4 linked regions of the Saccharomyces cerevisiae S288C genome follow. Changing the gene in region 1 together with any one later gene gives a genetic interaction. Each region holds a gene or a part of one and is shown on either strand. Other genes may lie near its edges.

Evidence for each region.
Region 2: mutations in LCB4 (region 1) and SCS7 together harm fitness less than expected from each alone (positive genetic interaction), as found in Saccharomyces cerevisiae (4 studies listed by BioGRID).
Region 3: mutations in LCB4 (region 1) and CSG2 together harm fitness less than expected from each alone (positive genetic interaction), as found in Saccharomyces cerevisiae (4 studies listed by BioGRID).
Region 4: mutations in LCB4 (region 1) and SUR2 impair growth when combined (synthetic growth defect), as found in Saccharomyces cerevisiae (6 studies listed by BioGRID, with this or other methods).

The regions. Positions count from the first base shown.
Region 1 is NC_001147.6:651,510-658,924, forward strand, and holds LCB4 (sphinganine kinase LCB4), read right to left. Parts: upstream 2,376-7,415; coding exon 501-2,375; downstream 1-500. Other genes in the region: GLN4 (glutamine--tRNA ligase), read left to right, coding at 1-223; YRM1 (Yrm1p), read left to right, coding at 2,701-5,061; DCS2 (5'-(N(7)-methyl 5'-triphosphoguanosine)-(mRNA) diphosphatase), read left to right, coding at 5,755-6,816; MED4 (Med4p), read left to right, coding at 7,238-7,415.
Region 2 is NC_001145.3:806,393-814,595, reverse strand, and holds SCS7 (fatty acid alpha-hydroxylase), read left to right. Parts: upstream 1-3,818; coding exon 3,819-4,973; downstream 4,974-8,203. Other genes in the region: RCE1 (CAAX prenyl protease), read left to right, coding at 1-232; ZDS1 (Zds1p), read left to right, coding at 616-3,363; YMR272W-B (uncharacterized protein), read right to left, coding at 3,400-3,507; orotate phosphoribosyltransferase URA10, read left to right, coding at 7,048-7,731; RRN9 (Rrn9p), read left to right, coding at 8,173-8,203. UniProt on the Saccharomyces cerevisiae protein: Ceramide hydroxylase involved in the hydroxylation of sphingolipid-associated very long chain fatty acids. Postulated to hydroxylate the very long chain fatty acid of dihydroceramides and phytoceramides at C-2.
Region 3 is NC_001134.8:308,329-316,820, forward strand, and holds CSG2 (mannosylinositol phosphorylceramide synthase regulatory subunit), read right to left. Parts: upstream 1,986-8,492; coding exon 753-1,985; downstream 1-752. Other genes in the region: Cu-binding protein SCO1, read right to left, coding at 2,237-3,124; chitin synthase CHS2, read left to right, coding at 3,570-6,461; ATP3 (F1F0 ATP synthase subunit gamma), read left to right, coding at 7,247-8,182. UniProt on the Saccharomyces cerevisiae protein: Required for calcium regulation. May regulate calcium accumulation by a non-vacuole organelle. Also regulates the activity of CSH1 and SUR1 during mannosyl phosphorylinositol ceramide synthesis.
Region 4 is NC_001136.10:1,052,727-1,061,145, reverse strand, and holds SUR2 (sphingosine hydroxylase), read right to left. Parts: upstream 4,596-8,419; coding exon 3,546-4,595; downstream 1-3,545. Other genes in the region: rRNA-processing protein BFR2, read right to left, coding at 1-1,519; ATP5 (F1F0 ATP synthase subunit 5), read left to right, coding at 2,332-2,970; mitochondrial 54S ribosomal protein mL67 MHR1, read right to left, coding at 5,254-5,934; HDA2 (Hda2p), read left to right, coding at 6,499-8,419. UniProt on the Saccharomyces cerevisiae protein: Required for hydroxylation of C-4 in the sphingoid moiety of ceramide. Catalyzes the conversion of sphinganine to phytosphingosine in sphingolipid biosynthesis. Involved in the response to syringomycin.

The sequences.
Region 1 (7,415 bases):
ATCTGTCATGGAACATAACTTCGGGGACGTTGTCAAGAACAGTCCATGGGTCGTTGATTCTGTTAAAAACTCGGAATTTTATGTTGAAGAAGATAAGGATTCCAAAGAAGTGTGTAGATTCCAAGCTATGAGAGTAGGTTATTTCACTCTGGATAAAGAGAGTACGACTTCTAAGGTTATTTTGAATAGAATAGTTAGCTTGAAGGACGCAACTTCCAAGTGAATGATTTAATGTGCATATATGTATATATTTATATATATATCCTATTGGTTGAAAATGATGTAATAGTGTAAATTTTTTAATTATATTAGATAATAAAGACCAACTCATAATATTGTTACGTATTAATGATATATAACTGGGGATGTATAATTATAATGAAAACAAAAATGGAATATAAACCATACTCCGATGATAGAAACATTATATCGCCTTTTCTTTTCGATGTAGTATTTCTTTTTACAAAAAAATCATTTTTGAAGGAAAATATAACGTTAATCTACATGGATTCAAACTCTGTATCGATATATCTACCATTCCTTAGCAACGTCTTGCATAACATGGGCATTATTTCCACTTGCAAGGGTTCCAAAGGAAACTTTTCACCATCCACTGAAAATAAACCTGACTCCACTTTTGGTATAATCTTATAAGCCAATATTTTTGAGTGAATAACTTCTGGCTCTAATACATGAGAACCTTTATCCAAGGATAATAAAATTGGTGTCATTCTTGTCACTGGGATTCTTGCATCCGTTATGACTAAATCAATGGTACCATCCGCTGGTAAAGCAGCGGGAAAAAATTTGGTGTCCTTAGCAATATACGGCATTTTCCCTGTGTAAAAGATTGTTAAGTTATCAGTTAGCTCTGAATCCATTTTCTCCCAGTCTCTAGGTACTGGTTCCGTCATCGGATACTTTAATTTAAAGTTGTCCTCGTTGAGAAAATTCGGTGAAAGTTCATCTTTTGTACTGTTGTTGATATTGTTTTTAGATAGTAAATCCGGCGAAGAGTTTGGGCTAGGATTTGGTTCGAAGGTTAAACATCCTTTGTTTTTATCTTTATTTTCTAAGAAATGAACTTTTAATTCCTTTTTAGATTTGGCAGCATATTTGACGAAAACTTCGCAGGGATATTTCTTACCTTGGATAATGTTGAATGCTACACCCAAATTAAACCTAACGGGACCCATCCATCTGATGAATTCAGTGTTAATATCAGATTCTGCAATAACGCCGTACGTCTGACTCAAAAAGGATAATCTTGGCCATTCGTTCATATAAGAAGGTTGGGAACAACACATTAAGTCTATTCTTGTTTCAATGGATTTGACAAGGCACAGAGCGGCGTACGATGGGTTATTTGTCCAATGACATGAAATGCTCATAGCATTTCCTGAACCGCAAGGTAGCTGAGTTACGGCTAGTTTATTGAACGCATCCACTCTGTCGGGTCTTCTATAAAGCCCATTAATTACTTCGTATGGAATACCATCACCCGAGGCACATGCAATGGTATCGTATTTGCTGATATCTAAATCTTTGGCAATATCGATGGCGTGACGGGCATATTTTGTGTATGCAATTTCTATTTTGCAGCCACTTTCCACTAGTATTGGCCTTGCTTTTGTCAGGAATAAATTTTTAGCAGTACCTTTACCACCGTGGGGATTAATAATGACTAATATCGATCTGTTTCTCTTGGAATTTTCATAACTTTTTTCCAGGATTTCTTCCACAGTACCAGAAGAAATGTTCTCCTCTCCGGTATTTGCTCTCGATTTCCTAGAAACGTGATCTATTAACAAGGTTAATTTTTGTGGTATAACATCATGGCCCTTGGGTACAGCAAAAGTTAACTCAATTAACTGTTGATTATCTTTTATCCCTAAAGATGGTGAGTTATCCTGTGAATCATCGGGAGACACCTTCACAGTGTTCGTTTTTGTATCCCACTTGTCTTTTTTGGGAAATGACTGTGATTCGCTTACAGGAGCCTTATCATTGCTCAAACTATGATTCTCAACGTCGTCATTTTCAGACGAAGAACTCAGATTTTCCGTTTGAAAAGGATTCGAAGAAATTTTGCCATTATTGAAGCCTTTCTGACCGACATTCACATATTTTGCGTTCAAAATTCTGTTGAACGGAATGGTAGTATTAAGAGGCAACAGTTCCAGGGAATCATCCTCATCAAAAGAACCTCCATCAGAGCTCAAAGTTCCATCATCCAGACAGGACAAGCAGCTCAACAAGGATAAAGAATCTCCGCTTCTGAGTTGACCATGCTTATTGAACATATGGTGTGATTGCGATTTGATCAATACACCTTCATCGGTCAAGATAGCCCTAAGTTTTTTCTGCACCACCATTATCTATAGTAGATTCTTCGCGTACTTTTCGCTGCTAGACTTTTGTGTTCTTGATAACCTCCAGGATCAGTACGTTAGACAAGGGAAAGTATCAGATGGGTTAAACACGAATTTTCACCTTCTTGTATGCCTTTCTTCCGTTAAATCATCTTTTTGCTTCAAGACCCTTGCAGCACGTTTTTTTCAGGCTCGGCAGTAGGGTGACACCCATGGTTTACAAGGCGATAAAATGACAAATGCCAGGTGGTATTGTAATAATAACGGCAAGAGTATAGAAAGTCAGAGGGGAAAGCACATTGAATGGTCCTGGTAAAGGGAGTTGTTAATGAGTAAGCGGGGTAGTTTACAGGATAGAGCTTCCCCATCGGAGGAAACTGTAAAGAAGGCGCAGAAGAGACGGAAACCAATAAAGTCATGCGCTTTTTGTAGGAAAAGGAAATTACGTTGCGACCAGCAGAAGCCAATGTGCTCAACTTGTAAGACGAGGGGTCGTTCTGGTTGCCTGTATACAGAGAAATTCACCCACAAAATAGAAACAAAAGAGTTATTTGGCAGTACTCCGAACATTGAACTGTTGAAAAGGATTGAGGATTTAGAGAAAAGACTAGATGACAAAGAGTTGACGGAGAAGGATGTAGCGCTTAGTACGAGCCCATTTAGGAACCCTTACGCTAATTTTTACTATTTACAATGTAAAGGCTCGGGAAGAAGAATAGTATATGGTCCTACATCTTTGAGAACGCATCTCTCAAACGATGATAATCGGTTTGTAAACACGTATAATCAGCTCTGGTCCAAAGTGAAAATCGAGAGAAACAGATGGAAGGCTAGGCATAAATGGACAATGAAGCCAGAAACTCAACTCCTAGAGGGACCGCCGTTAGAAAAGACAGGCTCTGACATCTTGCAACAGGTTTGTAACGTTTTGCCATCTTTTGAACAATCGTCAAAGATTATAACAGACTTTTTCAATACTGAACTGGAAACTAATGAAGTTAGTGAAGTATTAGATAAAACCAAAATAATAAACGATTTCACTTCCTCGTTTCTTCCAAGTGACGAACTGTTACCCAACGGTGAAAGGCGGATTGAAAAGTTATTACCATCGACAAAGAAAAACTATTATAAGATTGGAGTTATTTTGATGATACTGTGTATTCGCCATTTCTACAAAAATACTCCGGAAGAGATAGAGAAATTTCTCATCATGCTGACGGGACTGTCAACAGCTAAAGTATATTTCATTGAACGCGCTCAATTTCTCTTATTGAAATACTATCATCGAGAACTAATTTGGGCGTGTGGAGACGATTCGCATATGATTAGTCTAGTTGACTTATTATGCAGCACGGCAATTATGCTGGGTTTACACTTGAATATAAGAGAAATATACAAAAATCAAGAAAATATTGTGGGGAGTATGGAAAGTTTGGAAAATTTGTGGGTTTGGATTATATTATCAGATTTCAATGTTTCTTTAAATATTGGGAGATGTTTGGCGATTAACTCATCCTATTTTCAAGTCGATGAATGCGAGAATGGTGAGAGGTTGCCTAAAAATACAAACAATTATTCATCGACGGTTTTTTTCGATCAGTCAAATTCCTGCATGGGCAAGCTTAAAAGGTTTTTAAGATTAGCTCGACCAATGCTAGATCAAATTTATGATAGAAGCGCATTTCCAGACTTAGCCGAAAATTGTAAAAAACTAAGAAACTTTGTAGAGACTGAATTCCACCCAATATCATATTACACTGACAGTGAGTTAATATCTAAAGTTCCTTTGTGCGAGATTAAAGTGCTTGCGCAGGTTTTGAATTTGTTGTTGACGTTTTATTCCTTGAGGTATTTGATTTACAAGGAAAAAAGCGTTGTTTTAGAGAACAACATCCTGCAAACCATTTTGGTCTCTTTTTCCCTTGTCATCAATACGACCATACTGTGTTTTAACCTAGATGAGAAGCATTTTCCTGAGTTTTTTGATCATAATTGCGTTCATTTACCGCCATTTATGGCCTTGTCTTTAGTATACACAAATTTCCTTTTTCCTAGGGCCTCTACTGGCTTTTGTGCGTTTTTGTATCATAAGTTAACTCTTTTTGAGAAGGGCTATTATCTATCATCCAACATCAAAGATCAAGAAGTCACAGATTGGGATTTGTCAACCTTGAATATCCCGTTGGATAAAGCTATGAACTTACTTACTGCTTTCAAAATACATTCAGATATATTTGCTAAATGGTCTAATGATAACAACAAGCAGTTAAGAATTATTATGGCTCGCTCTTATACATTTGTTATCAACATCGCCCTGGAAAGCATATATAGAGCTGTTTTGGAAAAAGTAATCAAATATAGAACCGAGGTCGAAAACACATGGTTACAACAACTCCAAGACGAATTGAATGGGTCCTATTCGCTCACTGACAATGTAAATACTCCAATCGATCCCAGTTTAAGTGACCTGGGCGTCACAAGCGCCAGTCCATTGGCGGGAAATTCTCCAGGATTACCCCCGGAGGAAGTGCGAAATAACAGCGAAAACGCTTCGCATAACAATGAAACTGGGCCAATTGAGACTGAACTGGCACAGACAATATCCAACGAATTTTGGACGGCGTACAACCTTGGCTGGGAGGAACTAATGAGTCAGCCAGATTATAAATATTTATTTGATACGCAGTAGAGGAGAAGTTCTTTTACAAAAAAACATGCTTGCGACAGCAGCTAGATAGAAAACTTGCATATTGTAATGGAAGACAGTCGAGAGCAAGCCATTGGCTTGGACTTGCGCTTGGACCTATCTTTCGGACCAACTATTTAATGATTAGTAAGACAAAAATGACATTTAAGCATCTATAAAATAAGAAAAATAAAAAAATGAAGGGAAAAAGCTAAACACTAACTTCTTGACCAAACAAACAAGGAAAAGCCAGTAATTGCGTGAACAAAAGGCACCTGCAATTGTTCTGATGGATGTACTTTGTCCAACCTATTCTGCAAGAAAAAGAAATCAACTCCAAAGAAGTATGGAGCTTACTGGCACTCTAGCCTCCAAAAGCTGTTAAAGTGTTCATTCGATTGTCAAAAATCTTCCCCATAATAATCACCCACCTCAACAAAATACTTCCACTTAATTATTGATCGATTAGAGCTAGCGTCAGTGATTATATGCTAGTCCGAAAGGACAGCCCCATGACAGCGGCCGCGCAGACGCCTAGGGGGGAAATAAGGGGTGACAATACCAATGAGTATAAAGGCAGAAAGAAGAGAAACAGAAGCACGGGGGTTTCGTTTGGTCTTCAAATATATGTTAGGTCGGTACCTTTTCATTGCAAAATTGAAAAGATTTGAGCGTGTAAAAGTAAAAAAATACATGATGGGTTCCCAAGATTTAGCTAGTTTAATTGGGAGGTTTAAATACGTCAGGGTGTTAGATTCGAACCCTCATACAAAGGTAATCTCACTACTAGGCAGCATAGATGGGAAGGATGCCGTGTTAACTGCTGAAAAGACGCATTTCATATTTGATGAAACGGTACGTAGACCCTCTCAAAGTGGCCGTAGCACTCCGATTTTCTTTCATCGTGAAATAGACGAGTACTCCTTTTTAAACGGTATTACTGATCTGAAGGAATTAACTTCGAATGACATCTACTACTGGGGGTTGTCTGTTTTGAAGCAGCATATTTTGCATAACCCAACTGCGAAGGTTAACTTAATTTGGCCCGCCTCGCAGTTCCACATCAAGGGATACGACCAGCAGGATTTACATGTCGTCAGAGAAACTCCTGATATGTATAGAAACATAGTTGTGCCCTTTATCCAAGAGATGTGTACCAGCGAAAGAATGAAATGGGTAAACAACATTCTTTACGAGGGCGCCGAGGATGATAGAGTTGTTTATAAGGAATACAGTAGCAGGAATAAAGAGGATGGATTCGTCATCTTGCCCGATATGAAGTGGGACGGAATCAACATTGATTCGTTATACCTGGTCGCGATCGTGTACAGGGACGACATCAAATCTTTGAGAGATTTGAACCCAAACCATAGAGATTGGTTAATTAGACTCAATAAGAAGATTAAGACCATCATCCCCCAGCACTATGACTATAATGTAAACCCGGACGAGCTAAGAGTTTTCATTCATTATCAACCTTCATATTACCATTTTCATGTCCATATAGTGAATATAAGGCATCCAGGAGTAGGCGAGGAGAGAGGCTCCGGAATGACAATACTGTTGGAAGATGTTATAGAAGCGTTGGGTTTCTTAGGTCCTGAAGGTTATATGAAGAAGACGCTTACTTATGTCATTGGTGAAAATCATGATTTATGGAAAAAGGGCTTTAAGGAAGAAGTTGAAAAGCAACTGAAGCATGATGGTATCGCAACCAGTCCTGAAAAAGGCTCTGGGTTCAATACCAATTTGGGTTGAAGGTAGAAGAGCAGCACTATTTTTTCATGTGCTGAACTTCAGGAAGCGCCGGCTTATATAAATGTCTTATTTAAATGTTTGTGTATACATCTCAATGGATTTTGAATTTTAACATAGAATGCGAATGCACAGTAACATAGTACATTCAGTTGCTATTTTCCGTATAAGCTTTCTTTCCCTTATAGCATACATAGCCTTTGACGTATTGCCAGCCTTTTCAAAGAAATGCGAAAAAATAGTGCATTACCACCTACGTAAGGTAGGCTGGAGAAAAAGATAAACTTTTGCATTCTCTGCTCACCATACCGCGAAGGAAAGTAGTTATAACGTGTCCCGTTTTCAACAAGGTTTTCTGGTATATTGTTAACGGTGGAGAAAGCATCTAGTATCAATTACTTCCAGAGTACACACAACGAATGTTATGTCTGTCCAAGATACTAAAGCGGTAGAGTTTTCTATGGGTCACATCAGATCATCCTCTGTATCCCTGGTAGCAGAGGCTACTTCAAACACGAATAGTGAAGACAAATTATCTAAGGTCCAACTCTACGAAGATTTGTGCCGGTACGAGGATACATTGAGTAAGTTGGTGGAATCTG
Region 2 (8,203 bases), on another chromosome or scaffold:
GAACCTATGGTGCTGCATAATCCTGCATGCCCTTTGCAATATCATGGGGTTTCCTGGTCCTTCAAGATTGAATTTACATTTCACAGTAGTAGACAAGAAAGCTGGACGCATTTCCAAATTGGTCTCAATCTGGAATAAGTGCTACTTCGCACTGCTGGTCCTTGGATTAATATCCCTGAAGGATACCTTACAAACTCTGGTAGGAACTCCTGGTTATAGAATAACCCTTTAGCCTTTTTTACGTACTTGTATACCGTTTAAAATTTCCTATGTACTATAACCTTTTTTCACTACTATTATGGAATTCTATCGAGCGACCGGGCTTTTGTTACGGAAGAGTGAAAAAATCGAGTTTTGGTGTTTTGGTGAAAGAATTTGGAGGACTATAAAGTACCTATACTTTGTATTACGGACTCAATAACAAGTCGTTCGTGTCAGTGGTATTGAAGTTGTCAGATCTAAGAGTAGAGAGAAGGTGGCATCTAATAGGTTTCGACGTTTTTCTTTTTTTAAGGTTTTTATTTGGTCTCCTAGAATTTAAGGTCTTAGTTAGTTTTGGTTTGTTTTGTGGGTTACATATTTTCAATTCAAAGGAGAATTTAGCTGTCTTTTATAATGTCCAATAGAGATAACGAGAGCATGCTGCGTACTACATCAAGCGATAAGGCGATCGCTAGTCAAAGGGATAAACGGAAGTCTGAAGTTTTGATTGCTGCACAGTCCCTTGACAATGAAATCCGCAGCGTAAAAAACCTAAAAAGATTGTCGATTGGGTCAATGGATTTACTTATTGATCCAGAATTAGATATAAAATTCGGTGGGGAATCTAGTGGGAGACGATCATGGTCTGGCACGACATCCAGTTCTGCGTCAATGCCAAGTGACACAACCACCGTTAATAACACACGATATAGCGATCCAACTCCGCTAGAGAACTTGCATGGGAGGGGTAACTCAGGGATAGAATCCTCCAATAAGACTAAACAAGGTAACTACTTAGGTATAAAAAAAGGTGTTCACTCTCCATCCAGGAAATTAAATGCTAACGTATTAAAGAAAAACTTATTATGGGTTCCCGCCAATCAACACCCTAACGTTAAGCCTGATAATTTCCTAGAGCTTGTACAAGATACTTTACAAAATATACAACTAAGCGACAATGGTGAAGATAATGATGGGAATAGCAATGAAAATAACGATATTGAGGATAATGGGGAGGATAAAGAATCACAATCATATGAAAATAAGGAGAACAACACTATCAACTTGAACAGGGGGCTGTCAAGGCATGGAAACGCGTCACTAATACGAAGGCCTTCAACATTGCGGAGGTCATATACAGAGTTTGATGATAACGAAGATGACGATAATAAGGGAGACAGTGCCTCTGAAACAGTAAATAAAGTCGAAGAAAGAATCTCCAAAATAAAAGAGAGACCAGTGTCGTTAAGAGATATAACTGAAGAACTGACAAAGATCTCAAATAGTGCAGGACTAACCGACAATGATGCCATTACATTAGCCAGAACTCTTAGTATGGCTGGTTCATATTCAGATAAAAAAGATCAACCACAACCGGAAGGGCATTATGATGAAGGAGATATTGGTTTTTCAACTTCACAAGCGAATACTTTGGATGATGGTGAATTTGCCTCCAATATGCCCATCAATAATACCATGACATGGCCTGAACGATCGTCACTGAGAAGGAGTAGATTCAACACTTATCGAATCAGGTCACAAGAGCAAGAAAAAGAAGTAGAACAAAGTGTGGATGAAATGAAAAACGACGACGAAGAACGTCTAAAATTGACCAAGAATACAATAAAGGTCGAAATAGATCCGCACAAATCCCCTTTTAGACAGCAAGATGAGGATTCTGAGAATATGAGTTCGCCTGGGTCAATTGGTGATTTTCAAGACATTTATAATCATTACAGACAGTCTAGTGGCGAGTGGGAACAAGAAATGGGAATAGAGAAAGAAGCCGAAGAGGTACCCGTCAAGGTTCGAAATGACACAGTAGAACAAGACTTAGAGTTAAGAGAGGGAACAACAGACATGGTAAAGCCAAGCGCAACGGATGACAACAAAGAAACGAAGCGACATCGTCGAAGAAACGGATGGACATGGTTGAACAATAAAATGAGCAGAGAAGACGATAACGAAGAAAACCAAGGGGACGATGAAAATGAAGAAAACGTGGATTCACAAAGAATGGAGCTCGACAATTCCAAAAAACATTATATTTCTCTATTTAATGGCGGTGAGAAGACGGAGGTGTCAAATAAAGAAGAAATGAACAATTCAAGTACTTCCACCGCCACATCACAGACAAGACAGAAAATCGAGAAAACTTTTGCGAACCTATTCAGAAGAAAGCCACACCACAAGCATGATGCATCATCATCACCCTCGTCGTCACCATCATCGTCACCATCAATACCAAATAACGATGCCGTGCACGTTCGCGTGAGGAAAAGCAAAAAGCTTGGTAACAAAAGTGGAAGGGAGCCGGTTGAACCCATTGTGTTGCGCAATCGCCCTCGTCCTCACCGTCACCATCACAGCCGTCATGGTTCCCAAAAAATAAGCGTAAAAACCCTTAAAGATTCTCAGCCGCAGCAGCAGATACCATTACAACCACAATTGGAAGGCGCAATAGAGATAGAAAAGAAAGAGGAAAGCGATTCCGAGAGCTTGCCCCAACTACAGCCGGCCGTTAGTGTAAGTAGTACCAAAAGTAACTCTAGAGACAGAGAAGAAGAGGAGGCAAAGAAAAAGAACAAGAAGAGGAGCAATACGACAGAAATTTCCAACCAACAACACTCCAAACACGTCCAAAAGGAGAATACCGATGAGCAAAAAGCTCAACTACAAGCTCCAGCTCAAGAACAAGTCCAAACTTCAGTCCCAGTTCAAGCTTCAGCCCCAGTCCAAAATTCAGCCCCAGTCCAAACTTCAGCCCCAGTTGAAGCTTCAGCTCAAACTCAGGCTCCAGCGGCACCACCATTGAAACATACCTCCATATTGCCCCCAAGAAAGCTTACATTTGCAGACGTCAAAAAACCTGACAAACCAAACTCCCCGGTTCAATTCACAGACAGTGCCTTTGGGTTCCCACTGCCTTTGCTGACAGTGTCTACGGTTATCATGTTCGACCACCGTCTACCAATTAACGTCGAAAGGGCCATATACCGGCTGAGTCACTTGAAATTGAGCAATTCGAAGAGGGGACTGCGCGAGCAGGTATTACTAAGTAACTTCATGTATGCTTATCTGAACTTGGTTAATCACACTCTGTACATGGAGCAGGTAGCCCACGACAAAGAACAACAACAACAACAACAACAACAACCCTGAAAAGGCTTCAGCGCTGCATACATAGACATATACACATCACACGTACATACACGAAAAGATAGCTTTCATGCTCACAAAGCTACGTTCCCCACAGAATATTTCCCAGGACAACAGGGAAAGTTGGACAAACACCAAACTTCTCATAATACAATAGCCGAAAACAGTCTTGCTTTTGATAAAGAGAGCTTTCTGCGGCCGGAAGAAAATGTGCCTATTCCGCGGGGCCGTTCCGCGCAGAAACTACCGCACGACGTCGGAAATATAACGGGGTTTTGCGCGGATTTACTGACGTGTGACATCTTTTCGCAGTTAATTTTTTTTTCAATTTGGAACCGTATAAGAACAGAGGTATTAGATAGTAGAAGCTATTGTGTCTATTGTCTTTGATTAGTTTTTTTTTCTATTGTTATCGTGGCAGGCACTAAAAGCGGTGGTAAGCTAAAACTAGTACGAAGATGTCGACTAATACTTCCAAGACTTTGGAACTGTTTTCAAAAAAGACGGTACAAGAACACAATACTGCCAATGACTGCTGGGTCACTTATCAAAACAGAAAGATTTATGACGTGACCAGGTTTTTGAGCGAACACCCTGGTGGTGACGAGTCCATCTTGGACTATGCTGGTAAGGACATTACTGAGATCATGAAAGACTCAGATGTGCATGAACACAGCGACTCCGCGTATGAAATCCTTGAGGACGAATATTTGATTGGTTACTTGGCAACTGACGAAGAGGCAGCGAGATTGTTGACTAACAAGAACCATAAGGTTGAAGTGCAGTTGTCAGCTGACGGTACTGAGTTTGACTCCACTACTTTTGTAAAGGAGTTGCCCGCCGAGGAGAAACTAAGTATTGCTACGGACTACAGTAACGACTACAAAAAGCATAAATTTTTGGATCTGAACCGTCCTTTGCTGATGCAGATTCTGCGTAGTGATTTCAAGAAAGATTTTTACGTTGACCAAATCCATAGACCAAGACATTACGGTAAGGGGTCTGCCCCGCTATTTGGTAATTTCTTGGAACCATTAACTAAAACAGCTTGGTGGGTTGTTCCAGTTGCTTGGTTGCCTGTAGTTGTGTACCACATGGGTGTTGCTTTGAAGAACATGAACCAGCTATTTGCATGTTTCTTGTTCTGTGTCGGTGTCTTTGTTTGGACTTTGATTGAATACGGTCTTCACCGTTTCCTATTTCATTTCGATGATTGGTTACCTGAAAGTAACATCGCATTCGCCACACATTTTCTACTACATGGTTGCCATCATTACTTGCCCATGGACAAGTACCGTTTAGTTATGCCACCTACTCTGTTCGTCATCCTTTGTGCTCCATTTTACAAGTTGGTATTTGCTCTGCTGCCACTTTATTGGGCTTACGCTGGTTTTGCTGGCGGTCTTTTCGGTTATGTCTGTTATGACGAATGTCATTTCTTCTTGCACCACTCTAAATTGCCTCCCTTCATGCGTAAGTTGAAAAAATATCACCTGGAACATCATTATAAAAACTACCAACTGGGATTTGGCGTCACATCCTGGTTTTGGGACGAAGTTTTTGGCACCTACTTAGGCCCCGATGCCCCATTGTCCAAAATGAAATATGAATAATTATTGGTCAGCCTCGTCCAAAATTGTCAACCTAGGAAAAACAACATTACGAGCAATGAAATCTTGAGCAAAGTTCTTTTCTGCGACATATTTATTTCAAATCTTTATTTATATTATTATATGTAACTACGTATATATACATACACATGGAATGGAATCATAGATGAAATCGATGAACAAGCACGTTATTTCTTAAACGAATATCCAATCGATGACGACTATACGAAAAAGCGGCCTCAAAAAAGAACCGAATTGACAGGTACATTTTTCTTTCACAGATCAGGTTGGCAAAAAAATACTAACCGTATCCTGTGTTACTGTCGTTAGAACAGGAATCAAGATGAGCACAGTGAAGTTATCTGATAGTCCCTAGACTCTCATTGACTTTTTGTAATATTAGGACACAGAATATACTAAGGGTTCTTCTCGAGAATAAATGAACACATAAGCAAATCAGAAATTCTACATACTATAAGAGTACCTCATACCTAATCATTTCTTAATCCATTCCGTTATCAGTAATTGCATTCGAGGTTCCATTAAACTGGTGCCGACATTTATATAGTTATATTGGTCCAATGATCTTATCATCCTCCACACCGTATACAACTATATCTTAGTAAACAACGGCTAGTAAGTGAAACGATGGTCCATTTTAGGCACGAAGAATAAAGTAAAATCTGTATCTGCGTTGCGCAAATCATCAATTGCATTTATGTTGGAACGAGAGTAATTAATAGTGACATGAGTTGCTATGGTAACAATCTAATGCTTACATCGTATATTAATGTACACCTCGTATACGTTTAAGTGTGATTGCACCTATTGCAGAAGGAATGTTAAACGAGAAGCTCAGACAATACTGAAGCTGTGTTAAAGACCTATTAGTTGAACATGTTATGGTAGGTACATATATGAGGAATATGAGTCGTCACATAAATGTATAGTAACTACCGGAATCACTATTATATTGGTCATGATTAATATGACCAATCGGCGTGTGTTTTATATACCTCTCTTATTTAGTATAAGAAGATCAGTAATTATTTCTTCATTAATACTATTTTTTACCTCTAATTATCAACAATTTACATAGCCCAAAGTCATGAGGAGAGCTTCTACTATAAACCTCACTCACAATTCTTTCTTTAGTCAGACGTAGAAACCTAAGATTTGTTAGTATATACGGTTTTCCGTACCAGTACAAGATCCATTGCTTGCGATATTGTTAAAATAGGGACCATCTTTCTTAAAAAGGTTCCATAAAACCGGAAGTTTTAGTGTACACTAACAACAGAAGAAAAAGGTCCTATAGTGTAGTGGTTATCACTTTCGGTTCTGATCCGAACAACCCCAGTTCGAATCCGGGTGGGACCTTCCCTTCATTTTTCGTATTTTACGAAATTTAAACCATCATTTTTTTTTTTTGAACCAATGCGAGAAAAAAATAAAAAGAGAAAGGTAAGAAAAAGAAACCAACCTCTATACAGATACAATCGCTCATCTCGATATACTTATTTTTACATACCAGAGATATCGAAGAAGTTACTCAATTATTTGACAAGTGCTCATCATTATGTCATTTGAAGTTTTGCGTGTGACAGACAAGTCCTAATAGGATATCCTTTAGATAAACCATTGGGGCCCCTTATATGAGGTTTATACACACACATATATATGTATACATATGGCTAAATTGCCTTCTGAGAGCCTGATAGTTTTTTTAGCACTTTATTCTTTCACTTGTATTTTTTTAGACATTTCACGTATTCGGCTAATGGTATGGCACTTTCTCACGTGCCTTTCAGACTATGTAATATAAACTGTTCTAACCTGCTCTACACCTGACTCACATGACAGCATTTCCTTTCAGAATCACATAACATTTTTTGGTTTTAATTATCATATGCATTTCAAGGGAGTCATACATAACCTTTCGGGAAAGGCCCCTTCGCTTCCTAATCTAGGGTAAAAGGCCATCACAGGCTCTTTTATATAGATTAAGAACTAAGGAAGTGTCACGCAAAATAGTCGAGACCTAGAGCCATCAAGAATAATAAAACATAATCCAATAATGTCTGCATCTACTACAAGTTTAGAGGAATATCAAAAAACTTTCCTTGAACTGGGATTAGAATGCAAAGCACTAAGATTTGGGTCATTCAAGCTGAATTCAGGCAGGCAGTCGCCATATTTTTTCAATCTTAGTTTGTTCAATTCTGGAAAGCTGTTGGCAAACCTTGCCACCGCGTATGCAACTGCTATCATTCAATCGGAGCTTAAATTCGATGTTATTTTCGGACCTGCTTACAAAGGGATCCCTTTGGCTGCTATTGTATGCGTTAAACTAGCAGAAATCGGGGGCACTAAATTTCAAGGTATTCAATATGCTTTTAATAGAAAGAAAGTTAAAGACCACGGCGAAGGTGGTATTATTGTTGGAGCATCGCTTGAAGACAAGAGGGTGTTGATTATCGACGATGTCATGACTGCAGGAACTGCAATCAATGAAGCATTTGAGATAATCAGTATTGCTCAAGGTAGGGTAGTGGGTTGTATTGTTGCTTTAGATAGGCAAGAAGTGATTCATGAATCTGATCCGGAAAGAACAAGTGCTACCCAATCTGTTTCAAAGAGATACAACGTTCCTGTGCTAAGTATTGTATCACTGACTCAAGTGGTACAATTTATGGGAAATAGACTATCACCAGAGCAAAAATCAGCGATTGAAAACTACCGTAAGGCCTATGGTATATGAACTATAGAACTGACATGGACCATTTGATTATCATTGTTTGTATAGGAAAGAATAAATTTTTCTTGTATTCTTTTTTAATCAGTATACGTAAATAGCTTTTTATTGTTGGAGTTACGTGAGTTCTCGCATAGTAATTCATCAACTATTAGTGTCTTTTAAGGTTTCTTACTTTTCTTTTTGTCATGCTTCACTTGAGAGGATTTCTACTACTTTCCATAATTTTTCACTAAAATATTTTTCTTCTACAAAATAAACAAAAAGGCCTTTCGTGTTTGAAGATTACTCAGATGCAAGAATCACACTCAAGTTTAGCCATAAAGGGTGAAAATATTGATGTGTCGGCGGTTTTTTCTCTCTAGACATTTAACAGTTGCATTATAAAACTGTGCTGATTTCGGGACGACGAAATATATTTGAGAACAAACATTACGTGGGGTTTTGATGAGTGATCTTGACGAAGAAAGTCAAATTG
Region 3 (8,492 bases), on another chromosome or scaffold:
GTTTTTTCAGTAGATTTTTGCCTTTAAAAGAATAAATCCCACTACAAAAAGGTAAAATAAAAAATCTATTCACTGAACTTACTGATGAAATTTCCAAATGTGCCCCGTACATCGAACGATGTGACAGAGAAAAATACGAGTAGGTAAATAAGCCAAAAGGCAAGGGTGTCCTTTCTTAAGCATCGGTTAGGTTTGCGGGCGATCAGTAACTGAACAATGACACAAGATCAAGAACGTAATTTGAGATTTTTCAAGATGGTTTTTTTAGGTATCTATTAAAACTACTTTGATGATCAATACGGTATTTTTGTCGCATTATTTTCCAAGCGGAAGGAACCGTGTGTTCATTTTATGAATCTTGGTGTTGTATTCACAGCTACTTCTCCTAATGCCTTCGATGCATTTAGATAATTTTTGGAAACATTTTTTTTCTTGATGTATATTTTTTGTATTGTAGAAATCGCGCGTACTGTACTTGTATATCGCTTTATAAGCGCTTTTAATTGATTGTTCATGACGAGGATAGGCGGATAGGCGGAGGTATGCCTCTTAATATTTATAATAAAGCCCACCAAATGGCTTCTTCTTTTTAGAATATACAATATACAAATAAAAATAAAAAAATAGAAGAACATCCTAGTAATTGTCTTGAAAATAATCAAGATATTGATTGGGATTTTTTATTTAGGGAAACCAAATAATTGCATATGCTTGTTACATCATCATCAGTCATATAAAGTATGTTGTCCGTACTAATGGTGGTATTTACCTTCCCCGAGTGTTACTGATAGGACCAACAAACTTACCGTTAGCATTATGTATCCTATGACTTCCCATCTCACAATTGTGGTTTGCGTAGGTTCGCAAACCCACTCAGCTAACCCCATAAAGATAATAGCTCCCAGGTTGCACGTCGTCAAATACTCAGCAGGGGCCTTGCGATTCAACTCTAATATCGAAATCAAGCTCGGCAAGGAACCAAAGATAATCGAGCCTAGTAGAGAGAACCAAAAGCTCTTGTCATTATAGAACAACGAAATGGATTCCACAGACTCACGGGAGGGAAATTTAGGAATAAATGGCAAAAGTATTACCATGCCAATAATACCGATTAGGGCCATGTGGGTGCTCTGCTTAACCAAGACTACAGCAGAATTTTCGTTCTTGGAAATGTTACTGCAAAACCAACGGTTCCATAACACGGCAAAAGGACCCATAATCAAAGCACCAAGGCCGCAAATCAGAGCACCTTTCAACCTATCAAACAAGAATGGGTCAGAAAGTTCACCCGTGTTAGGGTTGACGGACAGCTTTCCGGCAAGCATGTCACAGGTAGCCTTCGTGTATGAGATGATCAAAATTCCAATGACCGCGTTCATCATGATGAGGAAATTACGGAAAACGTAGTTCTTCCTGGAGATTCCACAAACACCATATAGTAAAGTGACAATTTCGAAAATGGCAGTATTTTGCATCAAAGCAACATCAAATGCCGGTGACAATGACAAAGCCATGTTATAAGTCAAATCAGCGACAATCATTATGAGAGCCAGCACTGTTAGCTTAGCCACATATTTGAAGGTAGCCACGGATATGATTTTTTGCTTCTGCTGTTGGGCTGGAATCCGTGGTTGAGGATCATCCAACACGTGCGAGAACGTATCGACATCTTCGTTTGTCACAGACCCGCTGTTGTTGTTGTCAAACTGAGAATTCCTGTTCGAGTCTGAGTCAGAGACAAACATCGGTCTCATCTTCTCCCAAAGTCGAGATGCAGGCACCAAGAGCAGCCACGAAGCAAAATACATAAAGGTCAGATAGAAGGTTAATGAACTTGAGTTTCCGTTGTCGCCGTTAGTTTCAGGCGTTGCAATTGTACCATTGGGCCCCACGGAGATTTCCTTTTTAGATTGTATGTTAGACAAACATTTTGTTTGAATCACGTAGCCTATTACACTTGAAAACCAAAGTAGTGTGGTAGACATGACGCTGTATCTTTGTTTGTTATCGTGCTAACTCACCAGCTCAAGAGCGGATCTGTTCTGGAAGAAAATGGCCTACAAACATTTCTTTCACTTGATCTTCCCACGTTCACATAGCCTCCTTTAGAGTGAGAGAGCTTTTTTTTTTCTTGCGATACACCTTCGCCGGGTGATAGCCGATATTACAAGAACGGGTTATAGCGTTATAAGTATATATGTATATACAAGGAAGAAAGTAGCATATATTTACAATCTTATTTGAATAAGAAGGAGTACCATGCCTCCTTCTGCTTGGCGCGCTGCTCTGCAGGCACATAACTCTTAACGTGTTCCACGATCTTGTCCACGCCCGTTTTTTCATCATAATTTCTACCCAAAGCATCAACAAACTGTCCTTCAGGGTCCATGAGATAAAAGAAGATGGAATGGTCTACCAAATAATCTTGGCCCGGTTTGACGTTTGGAGGCGTAGAAAAGTATACTCTGTACTTCTTGCATGCGTTCTTCACCTCATCGAACGTCCCCGTCAAACCCAGGATGGAGGGATGAAAGTCGCTCAAATACTCTTTCAATACAGCAGGGGAGTCTCTTGCTGGATCACAAGTTATAAATAATGGCTGCAGAGTAATACCATACTTTGAAGAGAGTGTATTAAGCCATAGACCTAGCTTATCCAGTTCATCAGGACAGATGTCAGGACAGTTACTAAACCCAAAGTATATTATAGAAAACTTACCGAGAAGGTTTTTCTCCGTAAACTCATTGCCATACATATCCTCCAGATGGAAGGGTCCCCCAAGTGAAGGTTTACCGTATCCTCTGTTTGCTTCAGCCTCCTTCTGTGTTTCCAATCTGCGTTTCTCCCTGTTGAAGAAATAAGAAAGTGCCCCACCGACTGCTAGGAATAGAGCAATGGCCTTTCCCGTGGAAAACTCGATCGAGCCTTCTCGCACTTTGCCGTTATCCTTAATGGGAGTACCGCCCACAGGTACTCTGCTTAATGGTTTCTTGCCATTTGACTGCCATAAGCGCGTTACAGTAAAGAATCCCCTTTGAGTGAGCAATTTAGCGCCATTGCCACTTAATCTTGCGGCTGGCAATTGGACCAATCTTAGATTGGCACTTCTTGACAACTTCAGCATCTTTTCTACGTTTGCTGTTTTTTCTGTTTCCCTTGCCTTATACGAACATACGTTTCTAATGCCGATTATAAACACAATAGACACAATTATACTATTTTCTCACTTTTCTCTTCGGGAGATCGCTATTGATTATTATTCCCGTTTATTTCCTTCAATTTAGGGTCTGAAAAGAAGATAGTAGGGTTAGTTTTTTGGGGTTTAAAACCCTAGTATAAACCCCTATACTATTTGTTTATATATTTCCTATTTGAGTATGATAGCATCGATATTGAAATTTACAGAACTTCAATTTAGTTTCAATTGGGAATTCGAGGACTCTCCCTTGGGATGGCCCCAGTCTATTTAACTATCTTCCATAATATTACTGTTGATTTCGTGACTCAGAAGAGAAAACAGAGGAAGTTACATATAGACCCAAATAAAAACCAAAGAACCACATATAGAAATGACGAGAAACCCGTTTATGGTGGAACCTTCGAATGGCTCTCCTAATAGACGTGGTGCTTCAAACCTCTCCAAATTTTACGCAAACGCTAACAGCAACTCTCGGTGGGCTAATCCCAGTGAGGAGAGTTTGGAGGATAGCTATGACCAATCTAACGTTTTCCAAGGCCTTCCGGCATCTCCTTCGAGAGCTGCACTAAGATACTCCCCAGACCGTCGCCATAGAACTCAATTTTACCGCGATAGTGCCCATAACTCTCCAGTTGCTCCGAACAGGTATGCTGCTAATCTACAAGAGTCTCCCAAAAGAGCAGGCGAGGCTGTCATACATCTAAGTGAGGGGAGTAACCTTTACCCCCGCGATAATGCAGATCTACCGGTAGACCCCTACCATCTATCACCCCAGCAACAGCCCAGTAACAATCTGTTTGGAAGTGGCAGATTGTATTCTCAAAGCTCGAAATACACGATGTCTACTACTTCCACAACGGCTCCCTCTCTGGCAGAAGCAGACGATGAAAAGGAAAAATACCTCACTTCGACTACTTCCTATGATGATCAGTCTACAATTTTCTCTGCAGACACTTTCAATGAAACAAAATTTGAACTGAACCATCCAACAAGACAGCAGTATGTAAGACGTGCCAATTCTGAGAGTAAGAGAAGAATGGTCTCAGACTTGCCTCCCCCAAGCAAGAAGAAGGCACTATTGAAACTAGACAACCCGATACCAAAAGGTCTGTTGGATACTTTGCCTCGTAGGAACTCCCCTGAGTTTACGGAAATGAGATATACAGCCTGCACTGTGGAACCTGACGATTTTTTGAGAGAAGGTTACACTTTGAGATTCGCAGAGATGAACAGAGAATGTCAAATTGCCATTTGTATTACCATGTACAATGAAGATAAATATTCATTGGCAAGAACCATCCACTCCATTATGAAGAATGTTGCTCATCTTTGTAAGCGTGAAAAATCTCATGTTTGGGGCCCCAATGGCTGGAAGAAAGTCTCTGTAATTCTGATTAGTGACGGTAGAGCAAAAGTCAACCAAGGGTCTCTCGACTATTTAGCTGCTTTGGGTGTTTATCAAGAAGATATGGCCAAGGCGTCTGTGAATGGTGATCCGGTAAAAGCGCACATTTTTGAATTGACAACTCAGGTCTCTATCAACGCCGATCTGGATTATGTTTCAAAGGACATTGTTCCTGTGCAATTGGTTTTTTGTCTAAAAGAAGAAAATAAGAAAAAGATCAATTCCCATCGTTGGCTATTCAACGCGTTTTGTCCCGTTTTGCAACCTACTGTAGTTACTTTGGTTGATGTCGGTACACGTTTAAACAATACAGCAATTTACAGGTTATGGAAGGTTTTTGATATGGATTCAAATGTGGCTGGTGCGGCTGGTCAGATTAAGACTATGAAGGGGAAGTGGGGACTGAAACTTTTCAATCCATTAGTTGCATCGCAAAATTTTGAATATAAGATCTCGAATATTTTAGATAAACCATTAGAAAGTGTTTTTGGTTATATCTCTGTTCTTCCTGGTGCCCTGTCCGCATATAGGTATAGAGCCTTAAAAAATCATGAAGATGGCACTGGCCCTCTCAGATCGTATTTCCTTGGTGAAACTCAAGAAGGCAGAGACCATGATGTTTTCACTGCAAATATGTACTTGGCTGAAGATAGAATTCTTTGTTGGGAATTGGTCGCCAAGCGAGATGCAAAATGGGTTCTAAAATATGTTAAGGAAGCCACTGGTGAAACGGATGTTCCCGAAGACGTTTCTGAATTTATTTCTCAAAGAAGACGTTGGTTAAATGGTGCAATGTTTGCCGCAATTTATGCTCAATTGCATTTCTACCAAATTTGGAAAACTAAACATTCTGTTGTACGCAAGTTCTTTCTTCATGTTGAATTCCTTTATCAATTTATTCAGATGCTTTTTTCCTGGTTTTCTATTGCAAATTTCGTTCTTACCTTTTATTATTTAGCAGGATCAATGAATTTAGTTATTAAACATGGTGAGGCCTTATTCATTTTTTTTAAATACCTGATCTTTTGTGACTTGGCAAGTTTATTCATTATTTCCATGGGTAATAGACCCCAGGGCGCGAAACATTTATTCATTACCTCCATGGTTATACTGTCTATATGTGCCACATATTCTCTAATTTGTGGGTTTGTTTTTGCTTTCAAGTCGTTAGCTTCTGGAACGGAATCCCACAAAATATTTGTCGACATCGTTATCTCATTGCTCTCCACCTATGGCCTATACTTTTTCTCATCACTGATGTACCTAGATCCTTGGCACATGTTTACATCATCCATACAATACTTTTTGACACTTCCCGCCTTTACGTGTACTTTACAGATTTTTGCCTTCTGTAATACACACGACGTTTCCTGGGGTACTAAAGGTTCCACACAGGAGTCCAAGCAATTGTCCAAGGCCATTGTCGTTCAAGGTCCAGATGGGAAACAGATTGTGGAAACAGATTGGCCTCAGGAAGTTGATAAGAAGTTTTTGGAAATAAAAAGTCGTTTGAAAGAACCAGAATTTGAAGAATCAAGCGGCAATGAAAAACAATCCAAGAATGATTATTATAGAGATATAAGAACCAGAATTGTGATGATTTGGATGCTATCAAATCTAATACTGATCATGTCTATAATTCAAGTCTTTACACCACAAGATACTGACAATGGTTATTTGATATTCATTTTATGGTCTGTGGCCGCTTTAGCTGCCTTTAGGGTGGTTGGTTCCATGGCCTTTTTGTTCATGAAATACTTGCGTATAATAGTGAGTTACAGAAATAAAGTTGAAGGTAGCGGCTCATGGGAAGTCTCTAAATTAGACTTACCAAATGTTTTCCACAAAAAGGGCTAATGCCAGTATTTTTCAGCTAATTTCTCGTCATTCCCTCTTTTTTCTCATTCTGTTTTAGAATGTACAGGTTATGACAACCATTACCTTCTAGGATATTTTGACATTTCTCTCTTAGACTTTTTATATATAATATACATGTTTCAATACCAAATATAATGTAGCATAACATAATCTATCTTTTTACTCATAGACCTTTACTTTCCTCTCTAAAAGCCGTGTCGCAGTAACTGGTGACGCTAAAGTTCTCCGGCGTTTTTTTATGTATGAGCTGGGCATCAAGAGCTTTTGAGATTTTCCAAGTAGTAACTCATCTTTCTGAGTGTGCTATCAAATACATACTAAGGAGAATAAACTCTTGTTATTACGTATTCTTCATCCTTATGGGTAGAGAGCGCACTGTTTTAGTACATTTTCTAGACGTCGAAACGTAGAGCAATTGTCGATAAAACAAAAAAAAAGTAAGAAGATATATGAATAGGAGCTGTCGCTAGAACTAGTAAGTATATGATGGAGATATAATAAGTGAATTATTCGATATTTAATGAACGTTCTCATTTATTTGGAAGAAATGTTTATCACGTGATGGAGAACCAATGAGCGGCGAGTAACTACGCGAGGAACCCGGACCGCAATAACGATTAAAGAAGGCCCGGAAGGGAGATGCTTAAATGATTATCACTCAGTTAAAAAAGACAAATAAGAAACTATTGAGACTGAACCGTTTTGGTTAATTTCAGGTGGAAACAATTGAAGACGAGCAGTAAACATTATTTTATTTAGTAGTCATGTTGTCAAGAATTGTATCAAACAATGCAACACGCTCCGTAATGTGCCACCAAGCGCAAGTGGGTATTCTTTATAAGACTAACCCAGTGAGAACTTATGCTACTTTGAAAGAAGTGGAAATGCGTTTGAAATCTATCAAAAATATTGAGAAGATCACAAAAACTATGAAGATTGTTGCATCTACAAGATTGAGTAAAGCTGAAAAGGCTAAAATTTCCGCAAAGAAGATGGATGAAGCAGAGCAGTTGTTTTACAAGAACGCCGAAACCAAAAATTTGGATGTTGAGGCTACTGAAACAGGTGCTCCTAAAGAGTTGATTGTTGCTATCACCTCTGATAAGGGGTTGTGTGGTTCTATCCACTCTCAATTGGCTAAAGCTGTGAGAAGACATTTGAATGATCAACCAAACGCCGATATAGTCACTATTGGTGATAAAATTAAAATGCAGCTATTGAGAACCCATCCTAACAACATTAAATTGTCTATTAATGGAATTGGTAAAGATGCCCCAACTTTCCAAGAATCTGCTTTGATTGCCGATAAGTTATTGAGTGTCATGAAGGCCGGCACTTACCCAAAGATTTCCATTTTCTACAATGACCCAGTGTCTTCCCTATCTTTTGAACCATCTGAAAAACCGATCTTTAACGCCAAGACCATTGAACAATCCCCATCATTCGGCAAATTTGAGATCGACACGGACGCAAACGTTCCAAGAGATTTGTTTGAATATACTTTGGCTAACCAAATGTTGACAGCAATGGCTCAAGGTTATGCTGCTGAAATTTCCGCCAGAAGAAACGCTATGGATAACGCTTCCAAGAATGCCGGTGATATGATCAATCGTTACTCTATCTTGTACAACAGAACAAGACAAGCTGTCATTACTAATGAACTGGTTGATATTATTACTGGTGCTTCCTCTTTGGGATGATAAAAAAATCACCCTGCATTGCCTCTTTATTTGACGTTGTTTTTGTAGAACATGAAACGAATTTTGACTTGATGAGACGAAGTATATATCCAAAGAATACCTTAAATAGAAAAGGAAAGATAATAAATACTAAACACTACTATATATTCAGGTAAAATACAAAAATTATAACATTTTTAAAACTTTTTTTTTTTGAAAGTCCTTCTCGCTTTAGGATTTTTTCCCATTAAGATTATGATGGTTTCATGTATGTGTCAGTTAAAAAAAATATGGCTAAGTAGCAATGAAACGAACCAAGAAAATGAAAACA
Region 4 (8,419 bases), on another chromosome or scaffold:
TTTCATTAAAGTTCACTCGTTGACCTAACAATCCCGCAAAGAATTCATCGATTTGGTCGTCTGACCATTTGTATCCGGATGTGATGGGGGCTTCATAATTCGCAATTGGATCTTGAACTGAGTAGTTCAATTTCCTACCCTTGGAAGCCTTAGTATCGATATTCTTCTTTAGCTTGTTGTTCGAACGAGCATTAGTTGAGGTGATTGTAATTGCTGCACTTTCAGAATTGTGAGCGTTGGAAATCTTTTTGTCAATTAAATCGTTTAGTAAAACACGGTAAAAATCTTCGTCATCAAAAACATATGGGTTTTCGGTAATGTCAATGGCATTGTTATCCTTTCTTCTTGGGTCATAGTTTTTCGGGATATCAAGCCCATCATCCGAATTCTCATTGTCATCAACACTATCTTTGACAACGGGAGAAATCAATTCTGGTAGCCTGCCATTAGCACAGTCTTTTTGGAAATACAAAGGCGTTATGTTTCTCCTGTTCAACTTTGTTCTTTTCATCAAACGGGACATATCGGATAATTGGTTTTCGACTTGTACATCTGCAGGTAAGTTGATAGCTTTGAATTTGTTAGATGATAAAGCAGCGTTACCTGATGCAGAAGAAACTTTGGTAGACCACTTGTTTAATACGGCAGTCCTGTACTCTTTTAGTTCTGAGTCTAAGCTATTAGTTTCTTGGTAAAGCTCTTTGAGAGATCTTTTTTTGGACAATTTATGCTTCGCCACCTCTTCATTTTGAGTGATATGATCGCCAAGTTGGAATTTTATTCTGAAATTTATCAACCGATTGAATAAATTATTGAACAGTTTTTCGTTTTCCTTCAGCAAACGCTTTGTTTCCTCTGAATCATCCATTTTAGCCTCTTCCCAGGACTCTGTAGTTAATGGGAGCTTATTTGCTGCAATTACAGCTTTTTGTAGTTTTATTCTCAAATCAATGATGTTGTCAAATAATTTTGTCTGTTGTAAAATGGAATAACCCTTCGAAGCATCTCTTTGAACTGATTGAGACAGTTTGTTAATAGCTTGTTTAGTCTCTTGTTGAATTAGTTTCGATAGTGCATGCCTTTTCTGTTGAGCCTCCTCCGTTTCACCGCCGTCCGCGTCTGATTCTTCTTCATCAATCTCTACTTCTTCATCTTCAGAATCTGTCCTGAATGAAAGAGCATCTTCCTCTTTTTCTTCTTCCTCTTCTTCTTCTTCTTCTTCGTCCTCATTCTCGGAAACTTCTTCATATAATGCTTGTCTTGAACCTTTAACACCTGTATATTTTGGATCGTTTAGTTCTAAACCTTTTTCTGCTCTTAACTTAGACTTTTCCACCTCCAAATAGTGCGCCTTCTTGGTTTCTTCTGTGTTGCTATTTCCATAGTCGCTTAAATCACTTTCTCCATTTTTTTCATTGTGTTGAAATAAAGATGCATTTTCCTCATCTTCAATATCGAAGTCTTTATTGACCGGTTTAATGGCGATATCGGAAATTTGATCCGCTAGTGATTTTTCCATCTTTTTTTGCTCTATATTTATTGGTAACAGTGCTTATTGTTACTCAATGTATGGTACGCTGCATACCTATCAAGATGCGACTACATATATACAATTATCTCATCTCATCGCGTATTGAAAAATTTTCCATCTTCTAATTTTTCAGAACCCATAAATTCGGGTAACGATCAGTGGAAAAAACTTAAATCCGCAGTAATAGGCTTGCAAAGGACCAAAGACAGCATATGCAGCAGTTAAGAAATCTAAGAATGCATTGTATATTAGAGTAGTATATGGAAAAGCTCGGACTGGGAGCCGTAAAATCTCTTTCCCGTAAGATCTGGCTGCAAACCTGGTCTACATAAATGTAGTACATTATAAGGGACTACCAAGAAATACGAAGCGCTCAGATATCTCTTAAAGTTCATTTTTTTGCCGGAATAATCTTGGTTTAGTAACTTATAAAACTACTTACGTCCAATAAATCGTTATATTTTATGCCGTCGTCATAAAGTGGACACTTTCGAGAGACGGTGCTGGCCAATAAGATGCTGATATTTGAAATATCATTTACCCGGGCCCGGGTGGGAAAAACAAGGAATTAAAGATAATGAAGTGATCTTTTGGCGAGATAGTAAAACTTTCAATTATCTAGGAACAATTTCAAACGCCAATTGTTAACTTTGTGTACAGTATTTCTAGTTTTTATCTCATTGAAAACAAAATTCAGTCAACTTGGAAATTTAAGCAGGCTACTGTGGCATTGAGATATTTTTCCGCAGAGTAAGAACCGATTAGCAAGTTACCGCATTATTTTTAAACCGTGGACAATCATGTTTAATAGAGTCTTTACCAGGTCATTTGCATCAAGCTTAAGAGCTGCTGCTTCCAAAGCTGCTGCTCCCCCACCGGTGAGATTGTTCGGTGTTGAGGGCACTTACGCAACAGCTTTATATCAGGCCGCTGCAAAGAACTCCTCTATTGATGCTGCCTTTCAATCTTTGCAAAAAGTTGAAAGCACAGTCAAAAAGAATCCAAAATTAGGTCACTTATTACTGAATCCTGCATTGTCATTGAAGGACAGAAATTCTGTCATTGATGCCATCGTGGAGACTCACAAGAATTTGGATGGTTATGTCGTTAACCTATTGAAGGTTCTTTCCGAAAATAACAGACTGGGATGTTTTGAAAAAATTGCGTCTGACTTTGGCGTTTTAAACGATGCTCACAACGGGTTACTTAAAGGTACAGTGACTAGTGCTGAACCATTGGATCCTAAATCTTTCAAGAGGATTGAAAAAGCTTTGAGCGCCTCCAAATTGGTGGGGCAAGGTAAATCTTTGAAGCTGGAAAACGTGGTTAAGCCAGAGATTAAGGGTGGTTTGATTGTAGAACTTGGTGACAAGACTGTTGACTTAAGCATTTCTACAAAGATTCAAAAACTGAATAAGGTCTTAGAGGACAGCATTTAACGTTAATAATATAGTTGGATATGCTCAACTCGTTTGATGTTACTTTCTTTGCCTCCCTCCTAATTTTTGATTCTGTTCAAATATATATTCTTTTCCGTGAATTTTTCCTAAACATCAAAATTACGTACATATACGAATAAATAAGAAACCCCTCTAAAAAGTGAATTTTTTTGTTCGAGACAACCATTTTAATCATATATATGTTCGTGTATCCAGGCAAACTTATATTAATCGCAAAAAAAAAAATTATAAGTGTATATATGGAATAAACATAAAAAATAATAAAAGAAGAAAAAAAAAAATAATGAAGAATTCTCATCAGTTTTCGAAGATTTCAAGAAAGTCCGAAGAACATTTAAGACCTTTTTGATAATTCAAGATGTGCATGCACAATAATAACCATTTCATAGTTGAATTTTGATGTATTCTTTCGTTACAAATCAAATATATAGTCAAAGTCACGCCTATACACTTAATAATATGTCTTGATGTATATAAATGGATAATAAATACAAACGTGGGAAGTCGGAGACATTGCCTTTACCCAGCAATTGAACGGGAGGTATGCAAAAGGGTTATTTCTCTTTCTTTACTTCATTTTCAGCAGCATTCATAGCTTTGAAGTTTTTGAGTTTCTCCTTCTTTTCCAATTCTCTCTCTTGCAAAAACTCTTTGTACTTGTCGATGGTGACACGTCTTTGCTTCTTTTGATATTCTTCAAACCCTTTAAAGTTAGTTTGGAACAAATTGTCCCAGAAAGTGAAAAATGGTTGAGCAAAGTTCGTCTTGATACCAAATTGCTGGTGGTGGATATCGTGATAGACAGCGTTATTAGGGAAAAGCCATTGGAATGGGTCAAGTGGCAAAGCATACCCACAGTGGTCATCGACAGTCTTCATGGTGGCAAAGGTAAAAAGAATGATTTGCTCTCTGTGAGTCAAATGAGTTAACGTCATGGCAATACCGGTTCCCAAAGTATCTAACAAGAAGCCCTCAACAGGATTGTTGAAAAGAGCACCGTAAGCATATGGCACGTATAGTTCATGATGAACAGAGTGGAACCATTTGTATAAGGTCTTATTCATATGCATCAATCTATGCAAAAAGTATTGCCATGTATCAACGAATAAAAAGCCTGCAAAGATCTTCAAAGCGGACATTCCGTACATATAGCCGTAATAAATAGCGGCATCTGGAATAATCCGAGGAAGGTCTGCACGAAGCTTCCACATGGCATTTTCTTCAAACCCAGTCATGTAGATCGGCTCGAAGTGCATAAAGATAAGGCCAACAATGGTCTGTATGATATGTTGTAGAATCACTTCAAGGAAAACATGCATTCTCGACGCCTTGTTCCTCTTGGCAACCTCTTCGCTCGGATGAATTCTGTACTTCTCAGCCAGATGGAAAGTGTCTATTACATGGAATATACCAGACAACGCCCAGTAGGCAACAACCGGCGCAACCAAGGCCAGCACACCATCACTCATTTCCGGCAGCAAGGATTCCTTGGGGCGTAAATTAATGGCAGGGGCCTTGGCATAGTGCATAAACCCAAATGAGGTCTTGAGACCAAATGCTAGTGGAAAGGAACCGGCTGCAGTTGCATTCGATGTTACGTTCATCGTATATTTTCTTTTCGTATACACCCTCTTCGGACTAGAATGTTAGAAATACCCAGACCAAACAGTAAAGACGAAGACCCGGAGTAAATGCAAGGGAATAGAAGATATGTAAATCGTTACTTCTTTTATAATCCCAAAACACGAAACGAAAAATGCGGCAACAACAGCGCAGCAGGATGAAGAAAGAGTGAAATAAATCAAGACAATAGCAAACAAGAAATTTTTAGTAACCCAAAAAGAAATTTTTCTGTGAAAATTGGTGCGGAAAGACTAAGAAAAACCGCAGAAGCCGGAGAAAAGCGCGACTGCCCGAAGAAGGACGCGGGGTGAGGGAATAAGACAATAGGAAACAGGAGGTCGAAAAGCTTATTAAGCTGTGCAAGTGAAAAAGATAGAGAAATGACGATAAGGTGAGGAGGATAAAACGCGTTTCAAGTCACACAACAGCAGCAGTAGCAGCGGCAGCAGCAGCAGCGGCAGTAATAAAGACTAGCCCTGTGTATTCCTGTTTTGACCTATCTTCTTTTTGCGGATACCCGCACAGCACGTGTTTTTCCGTGGAACGGGATTTGGCAGAAAGGTTTGCATTGCACTATTTACATGAGCTTATATATGTTTTTTTTTCTACCTGCATTTGTATATCTAATGACGAAGCGTTCTACTGGGAAGACACTTCCGTCTGCTCTGTAGGATGTGATTCGAGCTTAGCTAGTTCCTTCAGAATAACGCTTTCTTCCCTCGCAATGTTCCCCACACGCTGAATAAGCTTGTGTTCCAGCCCCAGAGCATTGAACACATCGTAATTCCAATGTTTGTCCTTGTCACCCATCCTCCATGGGTCCTCCCAGTATATGGACGGTTTTTTGGCGGGTACTGTCTGCTTTTCTGCTGGTGTGGCATTCTCAAACACCTTCAACAAGGACTCCCGCAAGTCTGCCACTGCCTCTTGACAATATGTAGGTCTATACTGTCCGCTATACCAGACGTGCCCGTTAGAGTCCTTTTTTCTTAGCTTGTCACTCTCCTTACGCTGTGCCACATCACGGAGGTATCTCAACCGGCAGAGGTTCTGGTATAGATGGACACTCTGCTTATAGTTTTGCAAGTTCACTACACACATACATTTCCAGATGTCCCTTCTCAATGATGGCTTTCTGTTGCTCCAGTTTGGTCTCACAAACAGCTTATCCACCTGTGTTTGCGAAAAGTTGGGAAATTGAGAATATAGTACTTGTCCATACTCTAGGTTCCTAAAGATGTATACCTGGGGTGGGATTATCTTTGTCTTTTCGAACCATGAAGCGGGGCGGAATCTTGAAATTGAATGGTTTACCTTCATGCTTTTGCCCTGAAATATCGATTTTTCCGTCGCTGTTTCTCTATTTATTCCTCACAGGATCTCCTCTTTCCGTTTCCTCTACATTTCATCATATAGCCTTACTTTCACTTTTTCCTTTAGTATCTGAATATCGGAAAAGAGAATATTGTAGGAAATGTATTTTTCCCGTCTACCGTACAAAATGAGTCGTTAACTTGACAGGAATCATCAACTTTATGCACGTCTGAAATTTAACCGTGGCGTATATGGTTCATTGCTTACACGAATGTCTCCTAGTTTATATTTCCTGAGAAAGTTCTCTACAGCCCAAATAAATAGTTATATAGATATATAAGAAAAGCGACAACAAAAGAAAAAAAAAAAATACAGTCCTACTAAAATAACATAATTGCGGCACAGAAGAGTAACCACAACTAGTAGAACATCGAGAAAGGAGAGGTAACAAAAAATTTTTTTTTTTAAAAAGACAGAATTGAGAACGATTGAAGGCGTTTAAGTAGTAGTAAAAGTATTTGGCTTCATTAGTGTGTGAAAAATAAAGAAAATAGATACAATACTATCGACATGAGTAGGAAAAATTCTAAGAAACTAAAAGTCTATTACTTACCTGTAACGCTAACCCAATTTCAAAAGGATTTATCAGAAATTTTGATATCCCTGCACGCCAAGTCATTCAAAGCAAGCATAATAGGAGAACCACAGGCAGATGCAGTGAACAAGCCTTCCGGCTTACCTGCTGGCCCTGAAACACATCCGTATCCAACGCTATCACAAAGGCAATTAACCTATATCTTTGATTCAAACATAAGAGCAATAGCCAATCATCCTTCCCTTCTAGTGGACCATTATATGCCTCGACAGCTTTTGAGAATGGAGCCCACGGAAAGCTCTATTGCTGGGAGCCACAAGTTTCAAGTTCTCAACCAGCTCATTAATTCGATATGCTTTAGAGACAGAGAGGGCTCACCAAACGAAGTTATAAAATGTGCCATCATCGCACACAGCATAAAGGAATTAGATTTGCTAGAAGGTTTAATATTAGGCAAGAAATTCAGAACCAAGAGACTTTCCGGTACATCTCTTTATAATGAGAAACACAAATTCCCTAATCTACCTACGGTCGATTCCACAATAAATAAAGATGGAACACCAAATTCTGTAAGCAGCACAAGCTCTAATTCCAATTCGACCTCTTATACAGGTTATTCTAAGGACGACTATGATTACTCAGTGAAAAGAAACCTGAAAAAAAGAAAAATAAATACGGATGACTGGCTGTTTTTAGCCACTACCAAACATCTCAAACACGATCAATACCTATTGGCTAACTATGATATAGATATGATAATTAGTTTTGATCCAATGTTGGAAGTTGAATTGCCCGCTTTGCAGGTACTGAGGAATAATGCCAATAAGGATATTCCGATAATAAAGCTATTAGTACAAAATTCTCCAGATCATTACTTGTTAGATTCTGAAATCAAGAATTCAAGTGTTAAATCGTCGCATTTGAGCAATAACGGTCATGTCGATGATAGCCAAGAATATGAAGAGATCAAATCCTCCTTACTATATTTTTTGCAAGCAAGGAATGCTCCGGTGAACAACTGTGAGATTGATTATATTAAATTGGTAAAGTGTTGTTTAGAGGGGAAAGATTGCAATAACATTTTACCGGTTTTGGATTTGATAACGTTAGATGAGGCCTCCAAAGATTCGAGCGATTCTGGGTTTTGGCAGCCTCAATTAACAAAATTGCAATATTCGTCTACAGAATTGCCCCTTTGGGACGGACCATTGGATATCAAAACCTACCAAACAGAGTTAATGCATAGAGCCGTCATAAGATTGCGAGATATACAGGACGAGTATGCCAAAGGCACTGTTCCACTGTACGAGAAACGATTAAACGAAACTCAACGGCAGAACCAGTTGGACGAAATAAAGAATTCTGTTGGTCTTACATTCAAGAAAAAACAAGAAGTGGAAAAATCCATTAATGACTCTGAAAAAAGGTTGAAGCATGCGATGACAGAATCTACCAAGCTACAAAATAAAATAAATCACTTACTGAAAAATAGGCAGGAACTAGAGAATTTCAACAAATTGCCCTCGAATACTATTTCATCAGAAAATCATCTGGAAGAGGGATCTGCCTTAGCAGACAAGTTGAAGGAATACATAGACAAAAATGCGACTCTTTTTAATAAGTTAAAGGAACTCCAACAAGCAAATGCGGAAAAATCAAAGCTCAATGATGAACTACGTTCCAAATATCAAATAGAATCTTCAAAAGCCGCAGAGTCCGCGCAAACATTGAAAATTTTGCAAGAATCAATGAAGTCTTTAGAAAACGAAGTTAATGGTCCACTGACTAAATTTTCCACAGAAAGCTTGAAGAAGGAGCTGGAACGTTTACAGAATGATTTTCAGTCGCTTAAAGCAAGAAACAAATTCTTAAAGAATTACATAACCTTAATGAACC